3 linked regions of the Sus scrofa genome follow. The protein of the gene in region 3 purifies or fractionates together with the protein of the main gene of each other region. This does not show direct contact. Links are inferred from orthologs where the notes say so. Each region holds a gene or a part of one and is shown on either strand. Other genes may lie near its edges. The genes, in order: RCCD1, PLK1 and SPAG9.

Evidence for each region.
Region 1: the proteins of SPAG9 (region 3) and RCCD1 purify together in Homo sapiens (affinity purification with mass spectrometry; 3 studies listed by BioGRID and IntAct, counting the BioPlex papers as one, with this or other methods). This does not show direct contact. The link is inferred for Sus scrofa from reciprocal best matches to the Homo sapiens genes SPAG9 and RCCD1.
Region 2: the proteins of SPAG9 (region 3) and PLK1 purify together in Homo sapiens (affinity purification with mass spectrometry; 7 studies listed by BioGRID and IntAct, counting the BioPlex papers as one, with this or other methods). This does not show direct contact. The link is inferred for Sus scrofa from reciprocal best matches to the Homo sapiens genes SPAG9 and PLK1.

Annotation. Positions count from the first base shown.
Region 1 is NC_010449.5:53,553,452-53,557,096, forward strand, and holds part of RCCD1 (RCC1 domain-containing protein 1), read left to right. Parts: intron 1-1,139; coding exon 1,140-1,310; exon of another isoform or gene 1,311-1,897; intron 1,898-2,283; coding exon 2,284-2,313; intron 2,314-2,889; coding exon 2,890-3,050; 3' UTR 3,051-3,645. UniProt on the Homo sapiens protein: Plays a role in transcriptional repression of satellite repeats, possibly by regulating H3K36 methylation levels in centromeric regions together with KDM8.
Region 2 is NC_010445.4:22,544,300-22,547,944, reverse strand, and holds part of PLK1 (serine/threonine-protein kinase PLK1), read left to right. Parts: intron 1-740; coding exon 741-885; intron 886-1,816; coding exon 1,817-1,910; intron 1,911-3,645. UniProt on the Homo sapiens protein: Serine/threonine-protein kinase that performs several important functions throughout M phase of the cell cycle, including the regulation of centrosome maturation and spindle assembly, the removal of cohesins from chromosome arms, the inactivation of anaphase-promoting complex/cyclosome (APC/C) inhibitors, and the regulation of mitotic exit and cytokinesis.
Region 3 is NC_010454.4:27,367,453-27,371,740, reverse strand, and holds the start of SPAG9 (C-Jun-amino-terminal kinase-interacting protein 4), read left to right. Parts: upstream 1-1,476; 5' UTR 1,477-1,673; coding exon 1,674-1,976; intron 1,977-4,288. UniProt on the Homo sapiens protein: The JNK-interacting protein (JIP) group of scaffold proteins selectively mediates JNK signaling by aggregating specific components of the MAPK cascade to form a functional JNK signaling module.

The sequences.
Region 1 (3,645 bases), on a different chromosome or scaffold from region 3:
TGATATATATATGTGTGTGTATATATACATTCTTTTTCATATTCTTTTCCATTATGGTTTATCACAGGATATTAAATATAGTTCCCTATGCTATACAGTAGAACCCTGTGTCCTCATTCTATACATAACAGTTTATATCTGCGAATCCCAAACTCCCAGTGCATCCTTACTCCCCCAGCCCCCTGCCCCCTGGCTACCACAAGTCTGTTGGTGAGGGTCAGTTCTTTTTTTTTAGTTTTTAAAGTTTATTTTAAATGATTTTTATTTTTTCTCAGTACAGCTGGTTTACAGTGTTCTGTCAGTTTTCTACTGCACAGCAAGATGACCCAGTCACACATAAATATATATATTCTTTTTTCTCCCATTATCATGCTCCATCATAAGTGACTAGATATAGTTCCCAGTGCTACACAGCAGGATCTCATTGCTTATCCATTCCAGAGGCAATATTTTGCATCTGTTAACCCCAAATTCCCAGTCCATCCCACTCCCTCCCCTCCCCCTTGGCAACCACAGAGTGTCAGTTCTTTTTTTTTTTTTTTTTTTTTTTTTTTGGCTTTTTTGGGCCACATCTGCAGCATATGGATGTTCCCAGGCTAGGGGTTGAATCAGAGCTGCAGCTGCCAGCCTACGCCACAGCAACCCAGGATCCAAGCTGCATCTTCAACCTATATCACAGCTCACGGCAGTGCCAGATCCCTGACCCACTGAGCGAGGCCAGGAATCAAATCCACATCCTCATGAATATTAGTTGGATGCATTTCTGCTGCGCCACAGTGGGAACTCCGAGGGTCACACATGTACCTGTCATTCCTGACTCCTGGCTATTTTCTGGCCTGAGAACTACACAGTGCTTGGAAGGGGTGTGTCACATCCTCAGGACCCCAGGACACACTGAAGGTCTCTGAGCCCCTTATGAGAGGGATCATGGCAAGGCTAATGCCAGTGCCAGTGCTACATGCTCCACAAACCTGTCAACTCCAGCGCTTCCTGGGAAATGTGGGGTCGGGAGCGATGGCCTTCAAGCCAGAGTATGTGCTTCAGCTGTTGTACAGAGTTGGTGTATGAATGAGGTTTAGATTGGTGCTCAGTGAGTGTTCACCATCGTTATCCTCATCACTCTTACTGCTTCTCTGAAGCCCCAGGACTGAACGAAGATGGTTCTGAAGCAAAGAGAGCCACAGAGGGTGAGGATGGAGGCCCCACCCCCTTCATAGCTGTCCAGCCCTTCCCGGCCCTGCTGGATCTCCCCCTCGGCTCAGATGCGGTCAAGGCCAGCTGTGGATCCCGGCACACAGCGGTGGTGACAAGTGAGTGGGGCTGGGTAGGCTGGTTCAGGATGGTCCAGAGGTCCCTTCACCCCAACTCTCTGACTAGTAGCTGCAGAAAAGGGTGGCGATTGCCTAAAAAATGACCATTTTTTTTTCTGCCACATTCATAGCATGTGGAAGTTCCTGGCCAGGGATCACACCTTCACCACAATTGTGACCTGTGCCTCACCTACGACAATGCAGATGCTTAACCCACAGCACCACATGGGAACGTCCTAAAAACTACCATTTTAGGTGTCTTTGGCATGTACTGAGTAGCTACCTCACTGACTACACCCCCATGTGGCTCTAACAGTGGCTCCCCAGCCCATCAGTCCTCGAAGGTTCTTCTTTCTGGAGGGAGGCTCGTGTTTGCCTATCTTTCTTCTGACAGTAGGGCCTGCCCCGCCCTGCCCTGCTTCTAAGGCTCCTGAACGTCGTAGCTGTGAGTTGCAGGCCAATCAGCCAACTAGGAACCATGAGGTGTAGAGCAAGGAGAAGCTTTTCAGTCTGGATCCTCTGCCACATCAAATGCAACTAGATAGCTGTCAAAAAGAGAGAGGAGGAGTTCCCGTCGTAGTGCCAAGGTAACAATCCCTATTAGTATCCATGAGGACTCAGGTTCCATCTCTGGCCTCACTCAGTGGAATAAGAATGAGGTACTGCCTTGAGCTGTGGTGTAGGTCGCGGATGCAGCTTGGATCCTGCGTTGCTGTGTCTGTGGTGTAGGCCGGCAGCTGTAGCTCTGATTTGACCCCTCGCCTGGGAACCTCCATGTGCCTCAGGTGGAGCCCTTAAAAAACCAAAAAAAAAAAAAGAAAAACCAAAAAAGAGAGAGAGGACGTGTTGTGCTATGCAAAGCGAATCTCATGACAACTGTAAAGTGCTGGCTGTGGGTTGTGGCAGGCTGGGCAGGACAAATGCGTTATTGAAGAGCAGGGGCAATGGCCTCTTACTGTCCTTTTGGTTACAGGAACGGGCGAGCTCTACACCTGGGGCTGGGGTAAGTAAAGGACTTGCTTTTGTGATGCTTCAACCAAGGGGAGAAAAGACCCGGGAGCAGAGGGCAGGTGACAAGAGCCATGCAGACCAGTGGAAGCATATGCCCTCGGCCTGACAAACCACTGGGAAGACAGGGACTGAAAAGCTGCCTGTTCCCTTCTCTGGAAGGGATCTAGGCACACTCAGAAGGGTACAGACCAGACAAGAGAGAAATAGGAGATATCATTACTTTCCACTTACCTTTCTGAAAAAGTATTATTTCTTAAGGGAATGTTTCTCCAGCATTGAGGAGACCTCTTTTGGTCTGGCACTGGGTAGAGCAAAAGATCACATGAAAAGCTCTGCTCGGAGCATCTGAGCTTTGGGCTGGGGAGCCCGGAGGAGCATTGCCTCTTGGGGACCTGGGAGATTGCCTGGTCCTGGGGCTCTGTGTTTCTGGTCTCCTGAATTCACAGGGCAGACACTAGCAGCGTGGTGGCTTAAGCCCCACACTTCAGTGGATAGTCTGGTTTTCCTTCCTGGGGCCGAAGGCCATGGCCCTGTGGAGAGGATAGCAAAGGGGTTCATTTCCCTTTAGGTAAATATGGACAGCTTGGCCACAAGGACACGACCAGCTTGGATCGGCCCTGCCGTGTGGAGTACTTTGTAGATAAGCAACTCCAAGTCAGGACTGTGAGCTGTGGGCCCTGGAACACCTACGTGTTCGCTGTGGAGAAAGAGAAGAGCCGACATATGTAAATAAGGGCATGAAATCAATGGACAGTAAAGAAGAAGAAAGCTAACACCTGTGAAACTCCTGCCCAGGTCAAGGAAAACCAGGGCCTGCTCTCCAGAGGCCTTGTCTTTGCCCCTCCCTCCCCATCACAGCCCTCTTGCTCCAACTTAGAGCAGTGTCCTCGACTTGGTCCTCAAATTAGAAGCCCCTGGAGATTTGGCAATGGATGCCTAAGGCCAGCATTGCAGACACGGGTGAAATCAGAATTAGACACAGGCAGATGTGAAAGCTGCCCCACCTGACCCCACCCTGGGGGGATTTCTAGGTAGTGCCAAGATGGGGAACTGAGACCAGCTCAGCAGAATGGGGCTGAAGAATGGGTGCTGTGAAACCTAAGGAAAAAAGTTAACATAAAACAAGACACAGAGACATTTTCTTAAGCAAAGGTGGGAACCGGCAGACTCAAGGTCTCAGGGGCCAAGAGCAGCACTGCCTCAAGAAACCACACTGCTTTTATTGTGCTCTTTTATTGTGCTCCTCAAGTGTGGAGGGGGCTATGGGTGGAGGATATAGGGTTTGTTTATTATTATTTTTTGATATAGGGTTTGTTTATTATTG
Region 2 (3,645 bases), on a different chromosome or scaffold from region 3:
TTTTTTTTTGAAATTGATGTAAAAATCTAGATTCAAAGCTCTTTTTAAAAAATTGGGAGCTTCAGCTGTCCAGGGACAGCCTTCCCTCAGGGCAGCTCTTTGCTAGACTGAAAAGCAGCGTGTTCTTTAGACGTCCGGTTTGCCACAGTCCCCACCCCTCCCTATTACTTCATCACAAACTTGCCAAGTAGCAGTCTTCATGTTTATTTGCTTAATCCTGGAAGGCACTTGAGTTTTGCTCTCCCTATCAATTCCCTTTGAAAGGAAGACCTCCTTTCTGAGGGGAGGGGTGAGGTCTCTGGGAGGGTGTCCCCCTGCCCCCCGGCCAGCATGGTGGGAGGATTCCTGGGGAAGCCTTGATGAGAGGCTTGAGGGAACTAACAACCCTGGTACTTTTTGTTTGTTTTTTTAGGGCCACACCCGTGGCACATGGAGGTTCCCAGGCTAGAGGTCTAATCAAAGCTACAGCTGCCAGCCTACACCACAGCCACAGCAAGGCGGGGAGCTAAGCCACATCTGCAACCTACACCACACTTCACGGCGACGCCGGACCCTTAACCCACTGCGTGAGGCCAGGGATCGAACCCACAACGTCACGGTTACTAGTCGGATTTGTTTCCGCTGCCCCACAACGGGAGCTCTGACCTTGGTTCTTGAAGGTTACACCTGAACCAGCCGTCAGCAGTGACAGATGGCAGAGGCTAAAGTCTGAGGTCCCCCTCTTCCTCTCTCTGTCCCAGGGGATTTTGGACTGGCAACCAAAGTCGAGTATGACGGGGAACGGAAGAAGACCCTGTGCGGGACTCCTAATTACATAGCTCCTGAGGTGCTGAGCAAGAAAGGACACAGTTTCGAGGTGGACGTGTGGTCTATTGGGTGCATCATGTAAGTTGGGACTTGTCTTCAGGACCCACCCTCGACATCTCCCCCAGCAGACCTTAATCCTGTAGACCTTTCTGCCTGTGGAAAGGCTGCTCCACAGGACACACTGCCACCAAGGAAGCCTCGTTTCTGTATCTTTTTTTTCTCCCTGATGTTTCCTGATTCCTGTAGCCTGGGCTGCAGGTCCAGGGAATGGAGGAGGGAAGGTCGCCACAAACTCACTTCAGTCACTTGCCATTCAGAGTCTGGCAGACCAGCCAGCAGCAGCATCTAGGAACTTGTTAGAAACACAGAATCTCAGGACCCAGGCTTTTAAGACCCTTGAGTGATTTCCTTGCACAGTAAAGTATTAAAACCTCCCATCTAGAAAGAAGCATTGGGTGCGAGGAATGAGGCCAGGAGTTACAGCTGGCGGCAGGAGGGCTTGCCACCTGTCTGGGTCAGGGCCGTCAGAGGTGGGTGAGTGGAGGGCAGAGTAGGGCCTGTTCAGGTGGTAGCCCTTTCGATGCTGCTCTGGGTCCTGGAGAGTTAGAAATGAGTTGCAGCGATGGCTTTCCTACTTCTTTGCAGTGGGAGTTTTTCAAATGAAAGCTTGTAGCCTTGAGTATGAGAAGTATTAACTGTGGAGCTGCCTCTGTAGGAGCAGCTGGCCCACCTGCTTTGACCTGTTGTGTGTTGGCTGGCGGCCTCTGGGGCCCTAGATTACTGCAGGCTCGAGCCAGAAAGTCACCCACCCATGAGAACCCAGTCTCATCACCTCTATTCTACTGACTCCCCACACCCCCCATGCCCGTGGACTTTCGGGCTGCCCTCTGGGGCCCCAGGGTCCTAGTGAGTGTCCAGAGGATGTCTGACTTTCTGGCCCCAAGATGATTCCTCCTGCATCTGGGTTTTGGGTGGGCGCCTTGAGCCAAATCCCTCCTTGTGCTTACAGGTATACCTTGTTAGTGGGCAAGCCACCCTTTGAGACCTCTTGCCTTAAAGAGACCTACCTCCGGATCAAGAAGAATGAGTACAGTATTCCCAAGGTGACTGAAAACGCTTTTTTTTTTGTTTGTTTGTTTTTTGGGGGTTTTTTGTCTTTTTTTATTGTTGTTGTTGTTGTTGTTGTTGCTATTTCTTGGGCTGCTCCCACGGCATATGGAGGTTCCCAGGCTAGGGGTCGAATCGGAGCTGTAGCCACCGGCCTACGCCAGAGCCACAGCAACGCGGGATCCGAGCCGCGTCTGCAACCTACACCACAGCTCACGGCAACGCCGGATCGTTAACCCACTGAGCAAGGGCAGGGACCGAACCCGCAACCTCATGGTTCCTAGTCAAGATTCGTTAACCACTGCGCCACAACAGGAACTCCTGAAAACGCTTTTAAGTTTACATTTATTTTAAGTCTTACCTCCCCCCTCCATCCCAAGCTATTTACTGAACCCCGCATATCCTGAGGACAGAGGTAGGTCAGTCCCACCCTTAGGATTCCCACAAGAGTTTTGGGGGTCCTTATCTGAAATTGTATCCAGAATCTGACATTTGTGCACAAAAGCATTTTGGGGGGTTGGGGAGAGCATTTGTAGGTTCTCAAAGGTTGGGCAGATAACCCAAAAGATATGTAAAATAAAAAGAGAGTGAGGAGTTCCTGTCGTGGCTCAGTAGAAATGAATCTGGGAGTTCCCGTCGTGGCGCAGTGGTTAACGAATCCGACTAGGAACCATGAGGTTGCGGGTTCGGTCCCTGCCCTTGCTCAGTGGGTTAACGATCCGGCGTTGCCGTGAGCTGTGGTGTAGGTTGCAGACGCTGCTCGGATCCTGCGTTGCTGTGGCTCTGGCGTAGGCCGGTGGCTACAGCTCCGATTGGACCCCTAGCCTGGGAACCTCCATATGCCGCAGGAGCGGCCCAAGAAATAGCAAAAAGACAAAAAAAAAAAAGAAAAGAAATGAATCTGACTAGCGTCCATGAGGACGCAGGTTCGACACCTGGCCTCGATCAGTGGGTTAAGGATCCTGAGTTGCCATGAGCTGTGGTGTAGGCAGCAGACTCTGCTTGGATCCCGCATTGCTGTGGCCATGGTGTAGGCCGGCAGCTACAGCTCCAATTCCACCCCTAGCCTGGGAACCTCCATATGCTGTAGGTGCGGCCCTAAAAAAAAAAGAGAGAGAGAGGAGGGAGTAGGAGGCAGACAGAGAAGCGCTGCTTAAGCCTTGGAAGTGGGCCATCTTGATTCAGATGGTCTCTGCCACTTAGCAGCCCGAACACAATGAGCCCCTAGCCCAGAGCACCTCGTGTCAATAAGTGCTCACAGAGTCACGAACCGCTATGCGTGCAGAGTGGGGTGCTTTTGCAGCCACCAGCTTGAGCACATTGAGAGGGACAGGCTGCAGCAGCCAGGCACACCGCCGCTTTCCTGTTTGGTATCTTTGCCTTGTGTGTGAAGCCAAGAGCCCTATCTCCATAAGGACAGACGGACTGAATCTGTCACCAAGGGTCAGTCATTGAACAGAGCACAGAGTGGTTCCGAGCGTGGGTGCTGGAGCTGCCTGTGCCTCGGTGTGGGTGCTGGCTCCATCGCTTACTAGGGGTGTATTCTAAGGCACTTCACCCCTCTGTGCCTCGGTTTCCTCATCTGCACAAGGGGGGAGTTACAGAGATCTTTCTTTGCACCTTTGGCGCTTCTGTGGGGACTAAATGAGTTGATATACCTGAAGTGGTTAGAATGCTGGCCCACAGTAAGTGCATAGTTGATGCTAGGCTATTACTGTGCATTTGACCTGG
Region 3 (4,288 bases):
CTGCCTCAACACGTCGGAACTCCAGGCTTAGTATCTTCATTTTTGTCATTTTGAGTTTATAGCTTGGCCTGTGAGGATGTTGCTCTGGAGTCCTTAAACCACAAATGTTAATCAATAGCCATATCAAAGAATGCATCAAAGCTCATGCGCCTATGCTGACTACTTGAGTTAGTATTCTGCCTCAACACGTCGGAACTCCAGGCTTAGTATCTTCATTTTTGTCATTTTGAGTTTATAGCTTAGCTAACCTCCTTACTGCTTTTGTGAGTCTCCAAGTGGGTCTAAATTTGGGAAACTTTGGAGAACTAGTTTGTGCTTGATGGGGAGAACTTGAACTTTAAATACCAAGTTGAGGGTATTTATGATCCCGAGAGGTAGCTGACTCCAGCGCTAAACCATTCTTTATCCAAGTTCTGCCAGCCCTACCCTATTCTTAGAGTAGAGGCCAGAGAACTTCTGAGTGACCTCCCCTGGAGATAAGGGGTTTTAAGAGTGTCTTCTACATTTGCGGAGGCTAAAAGAAGCACTGGGAAGTGATCCTTAACTCAGCCCTCCAGGGGTTTGGGTGTTGTGTCATTCCCCACACGTGATTCTTTACCAGGTGGTGGAAACCTCAAGTATAACAGGACTTACTCACTTCAGTGACTCCACCTCTTTCCTCTTCCACTCCCCAACCCCCTATTAGCCCGCCCCACCCCACTTCCTCAAGATTAGAGGAAAGGCGGGTGGCTGGAGCCAGGAAATGCCATGCTCCCAAGCTGGCCAGGAGAGGCAGAGAAAATTGTGTACGGGAAAGTGCAAGATGTGGTGTTCCAGTTTTATTCATCTCCAGGATGCCGCGCATGTCTTATGTTTAAGTTTTTCCTTAATCTACTTTTCCCCAAATAATTCTATCCTACTCAAGACCACCTTATCACTGAGGCAGACCTCGTCTCATTTAAGGTTGCTTTCTCTCTCTCTCTCTCTCTCTGTTTTCCACTTCTCTAGGTCGGGACTTCTCAGACATAATTGGTTTGAATCCCAGATTATCCTCCTTCCCGTTCTAGCTGTGTGACCTTGAGTGAACCCTAACTTTTCAGGGCCTACTTTCCTTGTCTGTGAAACGAAGGCCAAACTTCTACAGCACTAAGCCTGCTGTGAAGAACAAACGAGAAAACCCTCTATGAGCTGCAAAAAGTAATAAAATGTTAGCTATGCTAATTCTGGACTGCTAGTCACTCTTCCAGAACCCCTCCCTTTCCTCTGGGATTCGCCCAGCAAACCCCGCCCGGGGCAGCAGTTCTCGCCATCCTCTCTCGCAGACTTTCCCATTGGCGTACCAACGTCGCGCGGCGCCGAGTGTTGACGCCACGCCGCCTCCGCCGGCGCATAGTGACGCATTCGGCCCCGCCCCCGGCCTCGCCCGGCCTCCCGCGGGGCCCCGCCCTACAGGCCGACGCGGCGCGGGTACCGCCCCACGAGTGACGTGTGGCGCGCGCGGCCCGGCCGCCCCGGCAGTTGGTGCAGCGGCGGTTGGGCTGAGTGCGCTCGCCTCACCCCTCCCCTCCTACGGCCCCGGCCCCCACCCCGCCGGGCCCAGCCCCAGCCCTAGCTCCAGCGGCCCGTCCCGTACGGGCCCGAGTCGCTCCTTCAGCCGGTGACGCCCCGGGCAGGCAGGCCGCCCGCCCGCAACCATGGAGCTGGAGGACGGTGTGGTGTACCAGGAGGAGCCCGGTGGTTCCGGGGCCGTGATGTCTGAGAGGGTGTCCGGCCTGGCCGGCTCCATCTACCGCGAGTTCGAGAGGCTCATCGGGCGCTACGACGAGGAGGTGGTCAAGGAGCTGATGCCACTGGTGGTGGCCGTGCTGGAGAACCTGGACTCGGTGTTCGCGCAGGATCAGGAGCACCAGGTGGAGCTGGAGCTGCTGCGGGACGACAACGAGCAGCTTATCACCCAGTACGAGCGAGAGAAGGCGCTGCGCAAGCACGCTGAGGAGGTGAGGGCCGGCCGGCGGGGAGGGCGAGGGCTGGGCCTGAGGGCGGGCCGGGGTCACGGGTCTGTCCCGGGAGGAGAGGAGCGCCGCGCAGGTCTCCTGGGGGCGGGCCTGAGGCCGAGGCCCACCTGACTGAGCCCGGAGGCCGTGAGGTCGCGGAACCACCGGCCGGGTTTGGACCCTGAGGCAGGCTAGTGAGTGTCCAGAAGAGGGTGAGATGGGGGAGGAAGCCAGAGCCTGGCTTGAGGGCACCTCGGGTTGGCTGAGAGAGGAGTTTAGGGTGTCCGCTTGCCTGTTGTTTAGGGAAGTTTCCGACCACCGTGTGAGATAGACGGCGATTCAAACTTTTACCGTGGGCTGGGGAAGGGGGGCATTTAAACACTTCTGTCCTCAGTAACTTCCGCTGATTCCAGTACCTTTCCTGGGGGTTGCTGTTTTGGGAAGTTAGAGATCTCCCTCTTTCGGTCAGTTTCTTATTGACGTTTTAACCCTGTTGAGAAGGAGGGGTTTTTTTTGTTTTGTTTTATGTACCATGGTTGACACTTTGTCAACACTTAGATGTTGTATAGCAATACTCTAAATATAGAGAGTGTGCATTTTTATTTTATTGGTAGCCCACATCAAAGTATTCCTTCCTGTCAGGTGGTAACCTTGGACAGTTCCCTTTAAAAACTGATAAAGAGGATGGGAGCGCGGTGGGAGGCGGGTTGGAGGTGTAGATGACATCTGGCAACCCTTTTCATAGACTGCAGTTTACAGGTGCACTTGGCTGCCTTCTAACTTTTGCGCCTCAGCGGTGTGACCCCGGTGCCCTCATCTTGTGAACCTTTTGGATTTCTGGACTGCCAGTGGTACGAAGACATCTTCGTACCAAGATGTCTTTGACATCTTGAGACAGTTTAAGCATTTTAGTTTTCAGGCTGTGTTGGCGTTATTTCTCTGGAACTTAGTAGTTAATGCAGATGAAGTTAATCATCCTTGTTTCCTGAGCATCTAGCACAACTGGCTAAATACATGGTAATTGAAGGAAGCTAAATAATTATTGAGAGAATGACTTGAAGAAATGAAAGACAACAAAATATTTTCAGAAATATTTGAAAAACTTTAAGGATGTGAGATCTGTTTAGTAGCTAATTTCCTAACACTAAATAGTACAACCATGTAGACTTTTTGTCACATACGCCTTCGTACCAGGTCAGCTAGTTTTTTTCTTTTTTCTTAGGTTTGTATGATGATTTTTAGTTCTGATTTTGTGATCCATTTGTCTCACAGGATTGCCATTGAATTTGCCAAGGAAAATTTGCTTTATTTCAGGAGCATTTCCAAGTATATAGGGAAGAAGGTGTTGAAAAACAATCTAAGGATAGAATCACAATTTCCAGTAATTTATTAGCACTGTTTATGGCAGAGTTCATATACTCCTCATGAAACGACATGCTATATCTTCATGCTCAGACAGGCCCTTGCCAGTGTGTGGATGTACATGGAAAGACAGTGGAATTAACCAAATAAACACACAGGTGAGGAGCAGGCCCAGCATGACCTGTGACCACAGATAAAAGAAATGGATTCCTTCAGCCTTTTTTTTTTTTTTTTTTTCTTTTGTCTTTTTTAGGGTTGTACCCGCAGCATATGGAGGTTCTAAGGCTAGGGGTCTAATCAGAGCTGTAGCTGCCGGCCTAAGCCACAGCCACAGCAACGCCAGATCTGAGCCGTGCCTGTGACCTACACCACAGCTCACAGCAACACCAGATACTTGACCTACTGAGAGAAGCCAGGGATTGAACTCGAAACCTCATGGTTCCTAGTCGGATTTGTTTCTGCTGCACCACGATGGGAATTCCATCCCTTCAGCTTTAAACTCCTGTCAGTTCATGTAAACATGGGCAAAATGCCAGGGTCACACGTGCCAGGAAAACCATTTGCTACAGGTTGCGGAATCAGAGGATAAACTGACTGAGCTGCTAGACTGTGGACTATATATTAATTTCTTAAGTAAATAACTTATGGGGTTGTGGGATGGAAATCCTATAAAACTGGATTGTGATGATCATTGTACGACTATAAATGTAATAAATTCATTGAGTAATAAAAAAAAAGAAAAAATTAAGTAAATGACTTAAAAAGAAGATTATCCTGGAGTTCCTTGTGGTGCAGCAGATTAAGGATCTGGTGGTGTCACTGTAGCAGCTATGGTCACTACTCTGGCATGTATTCCATCCCTGGCCCAGGAACTGCCACATGCCATGGGCATGGCTTAAAAAAGAATAAAAATAGATTACCCAAAGACTTTATTTATAATTTATGCTTTTTCA